Neurospora crassa OR74A: one gene and its partners. The protein of the gene in region 1 interacts with the protein of each later gene in a pairwise test. Links are inferred from orthologs where the notes say so. Each region holds a gene or a part of one and is shown in the gene's direction. Other genes may lie near its edges. The genes, in order: prk-10, NCU01563 and stk-30.

Region 1 (5,180 bases):
TGTTCGCCAACTCGCTCACGGCTTCCATCTTCTCTCTGCTCCACGCTTATCAGCTGCATGTGCGCAAGCAGACGCTGATCGCTAATCCCACCAGCACAGGGACCGGTAGCCTTTGCTTCTCCTGGGGCGGCGACTTGTTGGTGATTGGTATCATTGCCAATTATGCCTGTGTTGCGGCCGACACCTTTAGCTCCGAGCTGGGCATTCTGTCCAAGGGCGAGCCGCGCCTAATCACAAGCTGGAACTTGCGCAAGGTACCGCGTGGCACCAACGGCGGCGTTTCCCTCGTCGGTCTTGGCGCTGGCCTGTTGGGCAGCATGATCATCGTTACGGCGTCCATGCTTCTTCTGCCTCTTTGCACTGACGAGACGGCTACGAGACTTGGCGGTGCCGCGGGCTGGTCACTGGGACAGCGCCGCATGCTGATTCTCGGTCTCACGGTCTGGGGTTTTTTGGGCAGCGTTGTGGACAGCATTTTGGGCGGGCTCTTCCAGGCCAGTGTCAAGGATGTGCGTACGGGCAAGATTGTGGAGGGCGAGGGTGGCGTGAGGGTACTGGTTACCAACGCTACGAACCCCAACAACGTTGCCGGTCGGACTAAGGCTGAGATTAAGTCGTCTCTTCTGTCTGGCGAGGGGACGGATGCGGTGGAGGATGTCGGCGCCGCTGCCGGTAACAAGTACGATTCGCGCAACAAGCAGCGGAGGTCGAGCTTTGGAGACGAGAGGCCGTCGCGAGTGGTGGAGAACGGCTGGGACCTGCTTGATAACAATGATGTCAACTTCTTGATGGCATTCGGCATGAGCGTGGGAGCGATGGCCGTCGCATCATGGTATTGGGGAGTTCCTCTGCAGTCTGTGTTGTCGCCATGGTGGGCATAAGGCAGTCGCAGGTGGGTGGTGAATGACTTTCGCTAGAGATGTTGGCTAGCTAAACAATTCCATGGATGACATATGAGAGCTCAGTCGTCATTTTGATTACACATTCAGATCACGGCTTTGGGTGAAGCTTGGGCAGGTACCTTGCTCGCTATCCGGATGATGCTAACCAAAAGCCGGCGCGATTGACCATTGAGGTTCTCATTGTACCAAACATCCACAATTCAAGACCAGCGATCCGTACATGGGATCGAAGACCAGCCTGGCTTACAATTGAATCCTTTGGTATTCTATACACGAGAACGTTGTATACCTAGTCTTTGTAATTTCGACTTGCTACCATTTTGGGCCATAATGTGTGGTAGACACGTATAGGCGTACACAGGGCTTTTATCGGCCTTGTGACAATGGTCCTGTGACCGAGCCGGATGACCTCCCCTCGGCCAGCCAGGCGGTAGTAACGAAACATGAAGTAGGTACAGTAGCTGATGAATGATGGAACTTTCCGTCCGGCTCGGCAGCCCCGTTGTACCTAAGTTAAGGTGGCCGCTTTCCGGAGCGCTCTGACCCCGCGATGCTGCCGTTTGTCGTCCCTGCATCCTTCCAACTCCTCCACTAATTCCCCCATTCTTCACCCCAGATCCCCGCCCGACTCCTTCCACCCCGTTTTCCATTACACCATCTCTGGATTGTTGCCCCGCTGCAGTGTTCGCTTGTCCACTTCCTCCTATGGAACCTAACAGCTCCAACACCCACTTGATTGCCCGCTGCGCTGCCCGTCCACCGCGATTGCTGATTCTTGTCGGCTGACAACCGAACACCGACCGAATGCGCATCCGATACATGATGTTCTCCTGAACAAAGCAAGGCGGTACCTTACATCGACCGACGACGCTACAACACAGACAGCCCACCGAGCCTTGACTTGACGTCCCTAGCTTCATTAGCTCCAACCTCTTGGGTCTGTTCGCTCCCGCTCCCAGGATTCAATCGAGGGACCATCGCGGTTCCTCCATTGCCCATTCACCCTCTTCACCAGCCAGTCGGACGACATCTGGTCAGACGAAACGAACGACCTTCCATCCGCGATTCAGTGTCGTCCACTTGTGTTGCAAGCGACTCCGTCTGCCATGGCACAGGCCTACGATGACGAGGAGCTTTCCATCTCCTTGTCTCCTTCTCAGATCCGAAGTCGCAATAAGCGATCCGGCGATGGCGCATCAGGCTTCGGCCCCAGTACCGGCAACCTCCACGAATACGGTCAACACGGTCAGCAATTACACCCTAATATCAACGCCGTCATGGCCGACGCACCCCTCCGCGACAAGATGCGCACCGAGCAGCGCATCGGTGCCTATAACATTGTCAAGACGCTCGGCGAAGGCAGCTTCGGAAAGGTCAAGCTGGCTGTCCATCGCATGACCGGCCAGCAGGTCGCTCTCAAGATCATCGCCCGCAAGAAGCTCATCAGCCGCGACATGCAAGGTCGCGTAGAGCGCGAGATTGAGTATCTTCAATTGCTAAGGCATCCCCATATCATCAAGCTGTAAGGCACCCCTCGACGCCCATGCGCAGCAGACGTTGGCTCTGGTCCTTTACGTACACGTTGGCTAACCCGGCGCGCATACCAGGTACACCGTTATCAAAACACCAACCGAGATCATCATGGTGCTAGAGTATGCCGGCGGCGAATTGTTCGATTACATTGTTCAACATGGAAAGATGAAGGAGGACGAAGCCCGCCGCTTCTTTCAGCAGATGCTATGCGCCGTCGAATACTGTCATCGTCACAAGATCGTTCATCGCGACCTAAAGCCCGAAAACCTCTTGCTGGACGATAATCTCAATGTCAAAATTGCCGATTTTGGTCTTAGCAATATCATGACCGACGGTAATTTCCTCAAGACCAGCTGCGGCTCTCCCAATTACGCGGCTCCCGAGGTCATTGGCGGCAAGCTTTACGCAGGACCCGAAGTCGATGTCTGGAGTTGCGGTGTCATTCTTTACGTCCTACTCGTCGGGCGCCTCCCTTTCGACGACGAGCATATCCCCAGTCTTTTTGCCAAAATTGCGCGTGGAAGCTACATGGTGCCGACCTGGATGAGTCCCGGCGCGGCGTCACTAATCAAGAAGATGTTGGTTGTCAACCCTGTTCAACGTGCCACAATTGACGAAATCCGCCAGGACCCGTGGTTCCTCAAGGATCTGCCGGCTTACCTTCACCCTCCTGTTGAGGAGTTCCTCAATACTGGCGTGGACCCCAACAAGGCCATCAAGGTTAGCGACATTGCGCCAAATGCCCCTCCGCAGGAACAGGAGAAGTTGCATAATGAGGTCACGGAGAAGATCAGTAAAACCATGGGCTACGGCAAGAGAGATGTCGAAGAGGCCTTGGAGGCCGATGAACCCTCGGCCATCAAAGATGCCTACATGATCGTGCGTGAGAACAAGCTGATGCAGAGTAACCGTGAGTCTACGCTCCCTCCCAGCAAGTCTTTTGTCTTCTCATCATTGGAACCTATCGATCCCTTTGCGATGCTATACTCGTCCGTTTTGTCCTTCTTTCGCAGTTGATTTTGCCACGTCCCATCCTCCTTCGGCGTCCATTTTACACTTGCCTAGTGGTGAACATCGCTTGACGCAAAAAAAAAGCAAATCCTTGAGTTTGCGACCATCGTCCTTTTGGAGCAACACCAATGAGGAATACCAGGATACCCTACTAAAAACCGATGAAGAAATTCCAGGCCTCACGACAGAGGAGTCTGTCCCGAGTCCGCTCCATGACCCGAATATGTCATCAGCTCGCTCGATCGCATCCGTTAGCACAGCAACTTCACCGCGGCCATATGTCAGCAAGATCGGTATTTTGCCTAGCAGTCTTCCTACCTACCACAGGGTCTTTATGGAGCGAGAGAAGGCCAAGGCCGAAGGTCTTGAGCCCCCTGATGCCATCCCCACCATCGTTGAGCCGGCAAATCAGCCGCGCAGCCAAGCTGAACAAGAAGAGACTATCCGAAGACTCAAGCCACATTCGAGGAGTCAACTTCGCCTTGACGAGGCCAACAAGCGCCCACAAGGACTTACCCCCGTCCACCCGCCCAAGAAGAACAAGCCTGCTCGATGGCAATTTGGTATTCGATCCCGGAACGCTCCTTGGGAGGCGCTGGTGTGTATTTACAAGGCGCTAAACAAGCTTGGCGCTGGGTGGATTGTCGATGAAGACTACGAAAGAGCCCACCGGGACGATGACGACACTGATGACTATGATGGGCCTAGTATCGGGTCCCGCAAGAAGTCATCATCCAGCATGGATCCCACCAAGACATATAGACTTCCTGCGGACCCCTGGCATATCAAGATTCGGTGGACAACTGATAGTGAGTTTCCGGTCTGTCCGGCCCAAATGGCAAAGTTTGGCTAACATTGGCTGTCAGAGCTCAAAAAGCATTCGGTTGCCTCCGGCCTCAGCGAAGCAGGAGAGAACACGCATGTTAGCCGGGATGGCAGCGACAGCAAATACCAGGTTGTGGCCATGCGTATGGAGATTCAGATATACGAAATGGAGCACGGCGTCTATCTTGTCGATTTCAAGGTAGACGGGTACGAGACCCCCGATGGAAAGCTTCTAGAGGATAAGGAAGTCACGAGCCCCTTCCCCTTCCTTGATATGGCGGCCAAACTCATCATGCAGTTGGCAGACGCAGATTGAGGTGCCCCGACAATCAATTAATGGCTTGCGGTCGCTACGTTCATGCCTTTGGTTTTGTTTCACAGATTCCGTGCCTTCAGTTCTGGCTAATGCGTTGCTGATACCTTTGTACCCTTTGCATATACTTACCGCAGCCTACACTGTTGGACACCATCAACGAACATGACTAATGCTCCTTGACTTGCTGAACAGGAGGAAATATTCGCAGTACGGGTTGGGAAGATTATTTTACATGGAAGCAATTCGACAAACAAGATACGCCTACGTTTAGAGAGTATGGGGGCGGGCGTCACCTTTCTCTTCTATACCATGCTATGTCTCATCATGCACCAGCAGTCTTTTCATGGTCGAGTTTGTCAGTGCCAGACTGGCTTTGAAATCAGGCCTCTTTCCCTCTGTGGAGGAAGACACGGTATCACACATTCGTTCCGTTGGATTGGCATTAATGCTGCATCTACACATCTTGGGGATGCCTTGGGAGCGTGGAAGCTTCGTTTTTTCCCCCCCTTTTTTCCCCTATAAAGACATATCAGACTGCCCGTCATGATGTTGAAGGTTGGCATTAGAATGATCAAGCTATGGTGGTTGAACGC
Region 2 (5,105 bases), on another chromosome or scaffold:
CTGCATTGACAGTCACTATGGAGGAGTAAAACGACAGGGCGGCTTCAAGTGCAGAAGCGTGGTGGCCGTGTTCGTGGTTGTGCGTGGTGGGCATAAACAGGAGAAAGTCCCTTTTGTCATCAGAGGGAGAGTTCAAGTCAGCCAACAGGTTCTCAAGGTTCTCTCGTCTCTCGTGTGACCGAAGCAAACACCCGCTCAACCTCCTTCCTGGTTCTCATTCACTCGATTTCCCAAGACCTGGCAATGCGCTTTAGGGGCAGACCACACTGCAGCAGCCTTTTTAGCACGCGCGCAAAGTCAAAATGACTTTGACTCGGCCGCTAGCTGGCATTACAGGGTTAGATTGGGCGAGTGGAACTGGTGAAAAGTTGGCGATTCCCGGTCTTCCCCAGCTTTGAGTGGGTCGGTTTGTTTACTTGGGTTGTGGTCCACTTCTTTTTCTTCTCTTCGCTCGTCTCTCGAGTCTCTCGAGTCTCAGCTTTCAAAGAAATTGTGTGACTTACCGCCATTCGTCGAAGCTGATGTAGCCATCGTGGTCCATGTCGACCTCGTCGAAGAAGCCCGACAGCCTCTTGTTGGATACGGTCAAGCCGGCCTTTTGGAAAGCGCTGCGCAGCTCGTTCTTATCGAGCCGGCCATCCTTGTCGCGATCGATGGAACGGAAGAGCAGCCACAGTTGGCGCTCGGCGGTCTCGACGAAGTTGCGGAACTCTTCGTATTGGATCTTGCCGTCGCCGCTGGTGTCCACGACCTTGATGATATCCTTGAGCATGTGGTCGGCATTTTGCATGGCTACAAGAAAGACGGGCGCTTTGGTGTCAGTAGAGATGGCAAGTCGTGAACATGCGCATGACGAATCGCATTGGCGTTGGCAGGCATTGGCTCACGGTGATCGATCCTTCTCAACCCCTTTTGCAGCCCCTTGAAGTCGAGCTCTCCGTGGCGCTGGGGATCCAGCTTCGTCCACAATTCCTCGACGCGCTTGTCCCGCTGGTTCTGCGATTCGTCCATGCCGGCTTGGAGCTCTGCGAGCACATGGGAAACCTTCATTCCCGCTGTCGGGTTCTCATCATCCAACGCGGCATGCGCAGATGGTCGGCGTTGGTGTTCGGATATTTGCGCACGGCGGGGGAGGGGTCGGCGCGGAGAGGGAGCCAGACGACGGGGAGACGGGGAGCGTTCAATGCAAGTTCGGAGCACGACAAGAATGAATGGTCGTCGATACGGTAAAGTTCAGGTAAGGTACGGCGCAGTGCAATGCAAGTGAATGTGCAGTGCAGTGTAAAGGTTAGGTTAGGTTAGAGGTATCTTTCAGTTCTTTCCGTTCCTATGGTATTATGTATGCGGTGCTATGTGCAGTGCTGGCTCGCAGCTGAGGCAAGGTGGTTCAGTAGTGTGGTACACACAAGACCTACCATAGGCTCGGAAGGCAGATAGTCACTGCAAGGTCGGGACCTCGAGTGGTCAGGAATGGCAGAAATGAGACCGCCCGTCTAAACTAGCGGATCTAGAACCGTTTGCTGTAAGCGATTGGGTATGACGTAGGACAGGGGCTAGAGCAATAGGTAGGTAACTTGGATTTGGAAAATAAGATGAAATAGAGATCAAAATACGTTACGAAGCGACTGTTTGTATGAGCGGGACCTTCAAGGGGAAAATTAAAGTTACTTTCATGAAAAGAGATTGAGCCAAGCCACTCACGAATGGGATGGGACGAGTGGGTGGTGTATCGCTGTCCATCTACCCGTCACCCTATCTCCACGGGTATCCATTCTCCTCAAATAGTGCCTTTTGCACATTGCACCTGGCACCCTCCACAATTTTCGACCACGAATCTCGGTCCCTTTTTGAGACTCGAGACTTTGTTGACATGTAGCAAACAATGAAAGGGAAATCGGGGGTGGTGCGGGTGGCCGAAGTGATGAACGTGATATTCACGAAAAAAGCGGATCTGTATCGGAAGTGGTTTCAGTGGCCCCGTCCGGTGTGAGCGTGACACGGATTGTTATCTTGGCTTTTGTGTTGGGTCGGGGTAACACAACCCCAACATCGACAGCATTGAATTGAAGCTCGAGATAACCCAGGTTACCTATCTTGACCCAACCACCCGAAACATATTCAAGTCAGGAGAGTAGAGGTATGTAACTCAGTCGAGTTGTACCTCCAACCGTCCGGCATCCGGCAGCATCTTGACTCCACCCATCTGCAATTCACTTCCTGCAAACAAGCAACAAAGCTCTGATCAGTATCGGAGCAGGGTCATTTCTTTCGCCGTCTCCCTGATTGGCCAGCCCTGCCATAACATGTGGGCCTCCTAGGCCCTTCTAAAGTTTAAACCTCGGGTCGAGCAACCTACCTAGGGTCGGGTATTTTATCGCCAGCCTTATCAGCTTATCTTGGGCCCCGGGGTGTCCATCCGATCGCAAGCCATCACGTAATGTTTCTTTCCCGTTCAACATCAACCAACATCAAGTCGGAGCAGTGAGCTGAAGGCTTTCCGAGGTCTTGGATAGCGGCGCGTCGCAACAGGGTTTGAGACCTCCTCCATTACATAGGATTCCAACTCCACCGATCGTCAAAACGCGCGACCCAGAACATCTCCTACAGGCCAAGCGGACGACCATGTCTGCAGCGCCTTGGGAAGGACACAGCTAGACACCCGACAGCAGTTCGAGGCACCGAGACACACACGGTTACCATGGCGGCCAACTACTGGGAATCTACTCAGCGCAAACACTGGCTGTTTACCAAAGATGAGCTTGCCGCTATGCGCGCAAAGCTAGAGGCTGAAGAACCCAACCTGGTGGCCTCGTTTCCTCTCCCGCAACTGCGCCATCTGAACATCTACTTCAACCAACGTTCGTCGTATCTCTCCACGTCCCCTACCCCGTCCACCCGTCCGTCTGTTCGATGAAGAGAGTCGCCAACATACTTCTGTTTTACTCTAGAAATCAACCGTCTCGGTAAGCGCATGGGGCTACGACAGCAAGCCTTGGCCACCGCCCAAGTCTACATCAAGCGCTTCTACACCAAAGTCGAGATCCGGCGCACCAATCCACACCACGTTCTCGTGACCGCCCTATATCTGGCCTGCAAGATGGAGGAATGTCCCCAGCATATTCGGCTTATGGCCAACGAGGCCCGCGGCTTTTGGCCTACAGACTTCCAATCCCAGACAGAAGTGGCAAGGATAGGAGAATGCGAGTTCTACCTTATCTCAGAAATGAGCTCACATCTCATTGTCCATTCACCCTACCGTACCCTTACCAGCTTACAAGGGGAGCTTGGGCTGGCACAAGAGGACGTCAACCTTGCCTGGTCCGTCATCAACGACCATTACATGACCGATCTGCCGCTGCTCCACCCACCACATGTGATAGCCTTGACAGCCATTCTCTTGGCTCTGGTGTTGCGTCAGGATCCCAGCGGTCGTCTCCCTGGAACAGCCGCGTCGGCTTCGGGACTGGTAGCCGCTTCGGCAGCGTTGGCTCAGGCACAGGCGCAAGCACAGGCACGCGCTGCCATGATGGCGGGGGGTGGCCAGACTGTGCCAGGTCTCACCCCCCAGTCTTCTTCTGGCTTGCAGGCCATGCTTCCACCCCAGTCACCAGCCGGAGAAGGTCCTGCCGAAGGGAACAAAAACCCACGTATGGCAAAGGTTCACCGATTTGCTGCATGGCTGTCTGACAGTAATATTGATATTGAGGCCATGGTGGACTGCACGCAGGAGTTGATCTCCTTCTATGAATGCCATGAGCAGTACAATGACAAGAACACTCGGGAGCAGATCAATAGGTTTGTCAAAGCTCGCGGGCTGGACAAGTAAAGTATTGGTTCTGAGATCATGGATCGAATATCTCTTATTTGATGAATGCCTGGTGAGTGGTTAGACAACGGCCATGCGACCAAACGGAAAACGCTTCTTATTATCAGACTTGGACTAGTATGGCCCCTAATCCCGTGTTGTATTTTTTTTCTTCTGTGGGGGCACTGTCAATTATTGGATCATGGGCTCTCAAGCTGATAGGCATACGCATCAGTTCAAGGGCAATAGTGACATTTTAATCATAAGCATACAAGTAATGTCGATCGAAGCTTTACGTTCAAACAAGCGGACGAACTAGTGTAATGGCCCAAAGAAGGATGTCCCTCACCATAGAAATGACTAAACAGACTCTTACCTCGCCCTGGCTTTTCCATCAAAAATCACCTCTCAACCGCAGCCGATTGCGTCAACGGCAGCCCCTTCTCCTTCGTTATGCTCTCCAATGTAGGCAAAGGCGCCCCCTCGCCATTAAGCCCCCAAGCCGTCGGGCCCTGGTCGAACGCCGTCGTCCTCCTCATATCTCTCCTATGCTTACCTACACCCTTAAACTCACCCGCGCGATGCAATACAGCTCTATTATCCCAAATCACCAAATCACCCGGCCGCTCCCACCTCACACTCGCCACAAAGCTCTTGTTAGCCACATGCTCATTCAAAAACTTGATTATCCCCTCCGACCCCGGCACCGTCTTCCCCTCCCCATCCTCCAACCGCCACAAATAAGCACCCACACATAAATTCATCCTCCCACTCTCCACATGCTCTTGCACAACCTTGTGTCTCGCTATAGGACCCTCCTCCGGGTTCACGTCTTTAAAGTACTCAGGCGCCCCCAGCTTCCGACTATGAGCAGCATTATACACCCCCGTCCAATCTTTTGTCAGCAACTCCCTCTTTTTCTCGGCAGCCAACTCCTCCCACGCAGTCCTACTATCCGCAAACTCCGTGTTTCCTTCTATTTCCCCCATTTCCCCAGGCTCCCGAGAAGGCAGTTCCACGGCTCTTAGCAACGAATAACTCGACCGCCGCGGGTTATATGCTAGGTCCGAGTGCCATGACGAGTTGGCGCGGAGTAGCATGGCTCGTGGAGATGAAGAAGGGTCTAGGATCGCGCGGCCGTCGTCGGACAGGTTGCTGGCGTCGAAGAGCTCGAGGTGGGGGTAGTAGCGGGGGACGCGGCCGGGTGGGAGGAAGCGGGAGATGTCGTCGAGTGGACCAGAGGCGAAGAGGCGGGAGAAGGAGACGTGCGTGCTGTCGGTTAGGGGCGTGGCGCGGAGGA
Region 3 (5,289 bases), on another chromosome or scaffold:
CCACCCATATAATATCCACAACACAAGCTGACATGCGCTCAAATCTGTATAGGAGTTCAACGCCAGAACCGCCCATATCAACACCGGTACCCCTATGCCCGTCCGTGTTACCGTCAGGCCCGACCGCTCGTTCCACTTCGATGTCCGCACCCCTCACACATCATGGCTTCTGCTCAACGCCGCCGAGGCCCCGATAGGCAAGGGCGGCAAGAGAAAGGGCGCCAGCAACCCCGGCAAGGAGGTTGTCGGCACCGTCAGCCTCAAACATGTCTACGAGATTGCCAAGATCAAGCAGTCCGAGCTCCGTCTATCCGGCCTGCCCCTCGAGGGCCTCTGCAGGGCGGTCATCTACCAGGCCAGGTCGATCGGTATCAACGTTATCCCCTGAAAGAGGCTATACGCTGAAAGACATTATACGGGCTTGGGGGCACGAAGGCGTTACGGTTGTTTCTTTTAGGTGGATAGACCACGGCATTGTTACCAATATTGGATGCGGACTATAGCCATAGCTTGTGGCTCTGTGTATCTTTGCTTGTATCATTATTGTATGGCAAAATCTCAAAATGCACAGCGGTGCCTGGAGCTGTTGGTTGGTCCACGGAGTATGATCGTTTGGGAAAGGCTTCCACAAAAGGGTGCTGATGGCAGGCATGGCATATATGGGCATTTGCCGGTTTGCGTTTGCATTGCCTCAACGTACTCCAGCTTCGTCAACCTTGGCTCACATAGCTTGTGTTTGTGGAACACGCAGGCGTATGACGAGGATCTGTCTCTGTAGGATTAAGTTTTAAGGTTGGCGGTCACCAAGGTAGACCGCCCAACGGGTATTATGCTTACCTGAATGTAGGTGAGATGTGTTTATAATGCTTTTGGCTAAGCTGACTGCAAGACAAATCACACACATATATAAAAAGGGGTTTTGTAAACAAACATCCGCTTCGCCCAAGTGCTTATCCACCAGCCCACTTCTTACCACTCAGGCGAAGCCCCGGTATCATGTCGCCATGGTGTTCATCTCATGCTTTCAATACTAACGAGATGAAATGGATGATTGTTTAATATCCTACACGTGTGCAACGATTGCAATTACATTCAATGGCTTCTAGAACCATTCGGGCAATTACCTCCCGCAGCATGGCGGGGTATCGACATGGGTTACACCGAACCGAGCGATAAGGACCTGGTTTTCGGCGGTAGAGATCGACATAGAAAGCTGTTTACCATATCCGTTGGCAGTCCATCGAAAAAAAAGGTTGGGTGACATCAGGACAGTCACTGGAGACAAAGCTGACCACCAACACCACCTAGACTTGTCATCCATGCCTTTGCGGTGCCTCGGTCTTTCGGACACGGCGGCGCTCTAAAAGGCCGCTTTGACGGTGGTCGGGGCTGCTGCGGGATTCATACTTGACTCTCTGTTGTTCAGTTGAAACGCAGGGCAACGAGGATGACAGCCAAGGACGCAAGGCACAACCGGCTGAGGTGTTCACTCGAGTCATTGGGTGAACTGCCCAGTGTTTGAGGAACAACACGGGGCGGCGGAAACAGAGATGTGATGGAATGGATGTCCTGGCAGGAATTACGACTGCGTCAATGCAGCTGGTCATTGGCGTTTTAGAGGGGGAGGCGCTGCAATCGCTCGGCATCTTTCAAAGCTGGAAAAGGAAGTCGGACAAGATGGAAGAGGACATCGATGGACAGGATCAGGGACCTGACCCCAGGTTGCCGACCGCTCCCGGTTCCAATGTGTACTTGTGTAGTGTATGACAAAGACCAAGATCCAAGACGGGACTCCTATTGCGGTTTTGGGAACACTGACGCCCAGACAGGGTGCCCGCCGCCACGTTCAAACTGTTTGGCTTCGAGACCGTTCACCTTGTGAGGACGGGAGTCTGTGACTGCGGATCCGTCTGAAATTCAATCATTCTAGGAAAGCCGGCTTGGCCCGATCTCAGTGCCGGCGTGCCCGCTCTCAGATTCAACTCAGGTCCTCTCCTCCCAGGCGGGTGCACTGGCTGGTGGTCCATCAAGGGTACCCGTGTTTCCCGCCGCCTGCAGCCAACGTTTCCTGTAAGTACCTGTCATGTACATAGCTCGGCCCCACCACGACGCAACAGAGCGCCATCTTTCACACTTCCATTTCTTCGCCGAACCCGGGCCGCTTCTGTCCCAAGTGAACAAGAACTGAAGCCTAGGCACACAGCATCGACAAGGAATCGTCAAGGCCAGGCAAAGTCAAATCAGAAGTCACGGTGGAAAGTGGAAACCCCATTATTCACCTCCTACATAGTGTACTAGTAGTGACCAGTCCAAGCCTTGTCTACAGGCTTTGCAGTTCCATGACAGTTGAGATCGCCGTCATCTATTTGGCCCCGACTCTTCTTTCGCCGCCGTCCCATTTGCCTTTCCCTTGCTTCCACTTGACATAGTTTCCGCCCATTCCGCCGCTGCGTCTGCTTGCCGGTCTGGTCTTGTCTTGCATCTTCTGTCGCTCTGTCACCTGTCTGGCCCTTGCATCTTGCATCACACGGTCTTTTATCCCATCTTTTTTATCTCTGTTTTCCAGGGCGGGCCAGACACCAGACGTTATTCGGATTCCTGCCAGGATTTTACAAGTTTTATTAGTTTGCGGAGACGGGCGCAAATTCGAACCAAGAAATCAAAGTCACCCAACAAAAACAACAAAACACCTAAAAAAAAAAAAGATGGCGACCGCTGAGAAAGAGTCAGAGCAGCGTCAACCGGACGAACAGTTCCAAGGTAAGGAGAAAGGAAACAACGACGAAGAATTGGAAAAGAAAAAAACACGAATAAAAAATCAACGGCAACCCCTCATCTCTGATCCCTACTACGCCAATCCTCGGGGACTAGAACGAGCAAGCATTGGATTGAAGCAATTCGCTGACTTGTAGTCTACTCCAACAGCTGTCGAGCCGCAATCGGTCAAAGTCACTCCCGCTGAACCATCCAAAACCGAGCCTGCTGTCCGCTTCAAGTCAACTGTCGAAGAGATCACGCCAGAGGGCACCACATCGACACCAACCATTGCACCAGACGTCACCCTCGGCGAACCGGGTGAGGTCACCCCCGAGCAGCTTCGTGATATCGCCGAGAGGTTGAAGGCCTGTCCGCTGCAGGAGCGAAGGATAAGCCTTTTCCAGTACGAGGCATTCTCGCTTCCCGCTTCAAGGGTAAGCCCATCCTAATTTCACGTGAGGGGCTACGCTTCTTGCTTCCTTCCTTTGTTCATCTCCCAAGTTTTGCTTTTGCCTTGGTCCGTCGCTTCCGGGGGGGGCTTGTGCAACCAAGATCAGCTCGGTGGCTTTTGCTGGCTTTTTCCATGTCTCTTGTCTGATTGCACACCATATATCCATGCATGCATAGTCACCATTCTTCGCGTCTGCGTCTTTACCCCTTGGGCGAGGACTAATACTTTGCTATCTCCAGACACCTTCCCACGAAGATGATTCAAGAGCTCCCAGTCGCGAACATACACGGAGCTCGGCAGGTCGCAACTCACCGCTTCTTACTCCGCACGTCAGGGGCCACGAAATGCATACACCTCCTCTCACGCCGGCTGGAACCGACAACGTCGACCGAGAACTTCGCCGCGAGAGCGCTCTGGCGCAAGAAAGGCGGAGTGCCAACCTCATCACTCCTCAAGATTCTTCCCACGAACCGACATCACCTACCTCTCTCCGCAATGTCCAGCTGCCTACACCCGACGAACAGCTGCGGAGCTCTTCCAGGCCGACTTCGATAGATGGCCGAGATCGTCCCCAGATCACTATTGGTGAACATCGCAGAGGGTTGTTTTCCGTTGGATCCGGCGGCAGCAGTTCCCCCAGTAGATCTCAGCCTGCGTCTCGTGAATCCAGTCCCTCCCGAGCGTTGGCCGCGTCACAGTTCTACACCCGCCAACTACCACCTCCCGGCGATGCCAACGATCCGTACTCGGCAAGCAAACGACCTGCACAAAAAGGCATTGAGCCTCGCTTCATCTTCTCCAGGAAAAAGAACTCGTCCTCTTTGAGTCTGGTATCCAAAAGCGACAAACGCTCCAAGAAGGATCGCCATGACAACGACGACGAGGCCACAATCCCCAGCAGAAATAGCTCAATGGCGGACCTGAAGAGGTTCTTCAAGCTGGGACCCCACAAGAACAAGAGACCGGCATCTCCCGCTGCTTCTGTAAAGTCTACGCCCAAGACACCGGGAGGCAAGTCCGCCCAGATTCCGTTCGGTGACGATCACGGTCTCTCTTCTAAATACGGGAAGCTTGGCAAGGTGTTGGGTGCCGGAGCGGGAGGTTCGGTGAGACTCATGAAGCGCAGCGAAGACGGTGTGGTCTTTGCCGTTAAGGAGTTCCGCCCTCGCCACTCGTACGAAACCGAGCGCGAATATGTCAAGAAGCTTACGGCCGAGTATTGCATGGGATCTTCTTTGCACCATGGCAACATCATTGAAACCCTAGACATTGTCCAGGAGAAGGGCAAGTGGTATGAGGTGATGGAGTACGCTCCGTATGACCTGTTCGCCATTGTCATGACAGGAAAGATGTCTCGAGAAGAGGTCAGCTGCTGCTTCCTTCAGATCTTGAGTGGCGTAACATACCTTCACAGCATGGGCCTCGCGCATCGGGATCTGAAGCTTGACAACGTTGTGGTTAGCGAGCATGGGATTATGAAGATTATCGATTTTGGTAGTGCTCATGTTTTCCGGTATCCGTTTGAGACTGGTATTGTACATGCCTCAGGTATGTAAACACTTGGCTGAGAAGATGCTGGTTGAAGGGTTGCTAACCGATCAAAGGCATTGTTGGATCCGACCCATATCTTGCCCCCGAAGTGTACGACGAAAAGAAGTACGATCCCGAAGCCGTTGATATCTGGTCCTTGGCCATCATCTACTGCTGCATGACACTCCGGCGATTCCCGTGGAAGGTTCCTCGATTGACCGACAACTCGTTCAAGCTATTCGCTGCAGAACCTTCGTTCGGACATGACCCAAAGAAACTGTTGCTTCCACCTTCAGCCTCCACGTCGGCGCTTAGCGATGTTCCATACAGAGACTACGACCCTCAGAGCGTCAGGGCTAGCAGCGACAAGATCGACAAGGTTCAGGATGACAAGAAGACGACTTCCGATCACAAGCCGACAACCAGCGTACAAGGAGAAGCTGGCAGCACTGGAGAGAAGAAGGAGGTTATCCGTGGTCCTTGGAGAATCCTCAGGCTTCTCCCGAGGGAAAGCAGACACGTCATCGGCAGGATGCTCGATCTGGATCCCA

The links.
Region 2: the proteins of prk-10 (region 1) and NCU01563 interact in a two-hybrid assay, tested with the Saccharomyces cerevisiae proteins (2 studies listed by BioGRID, with this or other methods). The link is inferred for Neurospora crassa OR74A from reciprocal best matches to the Saccharomyces cerevisiae genes SNF1 and SSN8.
Region 3: the proteins of prk-10 (region 1) and stk-30 interact in binary tests that used the Saccharomyces cerevisiae proteins (3 or more experiments, as listed by UniProt). The link is inferred for Neurospora crassa OR74A from reciprocal best matches to the Saccharomyces cerevisiae genes SNF1 and NPR1.

The regions. Positions count from the first base shown.
Region 1 is NC_026505.1:1,659,261-1,664,440, reverse strand, and holds the start of prk-10 (protein kinase SNF1), read left to right. Parts: upstream 1-1,528; 5' UTR 1,529-2,008; coding exon 2,009-2,424; intron 2,425-2,509; coding exon 2,510-3,345; intron 3,346-3,613; coding exon 3,614-4,255; intron 4,256-4,312; coding exon 4,313-4,587; 3' UTR 4,588-5,180. Other genes in the region: NCU11040 (DUF92 domain-containing protein), read left to right, coding at 1-881. UniProt on the Saccharomyces cerevisiae protein: Serine/threonine protein kinase essential for release from glucose repression.
Region 2 is NC_026502.1:3,075,015-3,080,119, forward strand, and holds NCU01563 (RNA polymerase II holoenzyme cyclin-like subunit), read left to right. Parts: upstream 1-2,050; 5' UTR 2,051-2,137; intron 2,138-2,197; exon of another isoform or gene 2,198-2,257; 5' UTR 2,258-2,698; coding exon 2,699-2,858; intron 2,859-2,948; coding exon 2,949-3,826; 3' UTR 3,827-4,187; downstream 4,188-5,105. Other genes in the region: NCU01564 (calcium dependent mitochondrial carrier protein), read right to left, coding at 1-110, 504-792, 888-1,050; NCU01562 (2,4-dichlorophenoxyacetate alpha-ketoglutarate dioxygenase), read right to left, coding at 4,207-5,105. UniProt on the Saccharomyces cerevisiae protein: Component of the SRB8-11 complex. The SRB8-11 complex is a regulatory module of the Mediator complex which is itself involved in regulation of basal and activated RNA polymerase II-dependent transcription.
Region 3 is NC_026504.1:3,735,019-3,740,307, forward strand, and holds the start of stk-30 (protein kinase), read left to right. Parts: upstream 1-2,214; 5' UTR 2,215-2,705; coding exon 2,706-2,760; intron 2,761-2,925; coding exon 2,926-3,191; intron 3,192-3,447; coding exon 3,448-4,756; intron 4,757-4,812; coding exon 4,813-5,289. Other genes in the region: NCU04336 (mitochondrial 54S ribosomal protein YmL19), read left to right, coding at 53-388. UniProt on the Saccharomyces cerevisiae protein: Nutrient-regulated protein kinase that promotes the activity of at least 6 distinct transport systems for nitrogenous nutrients under conditions of nitrogen catabolite derepression.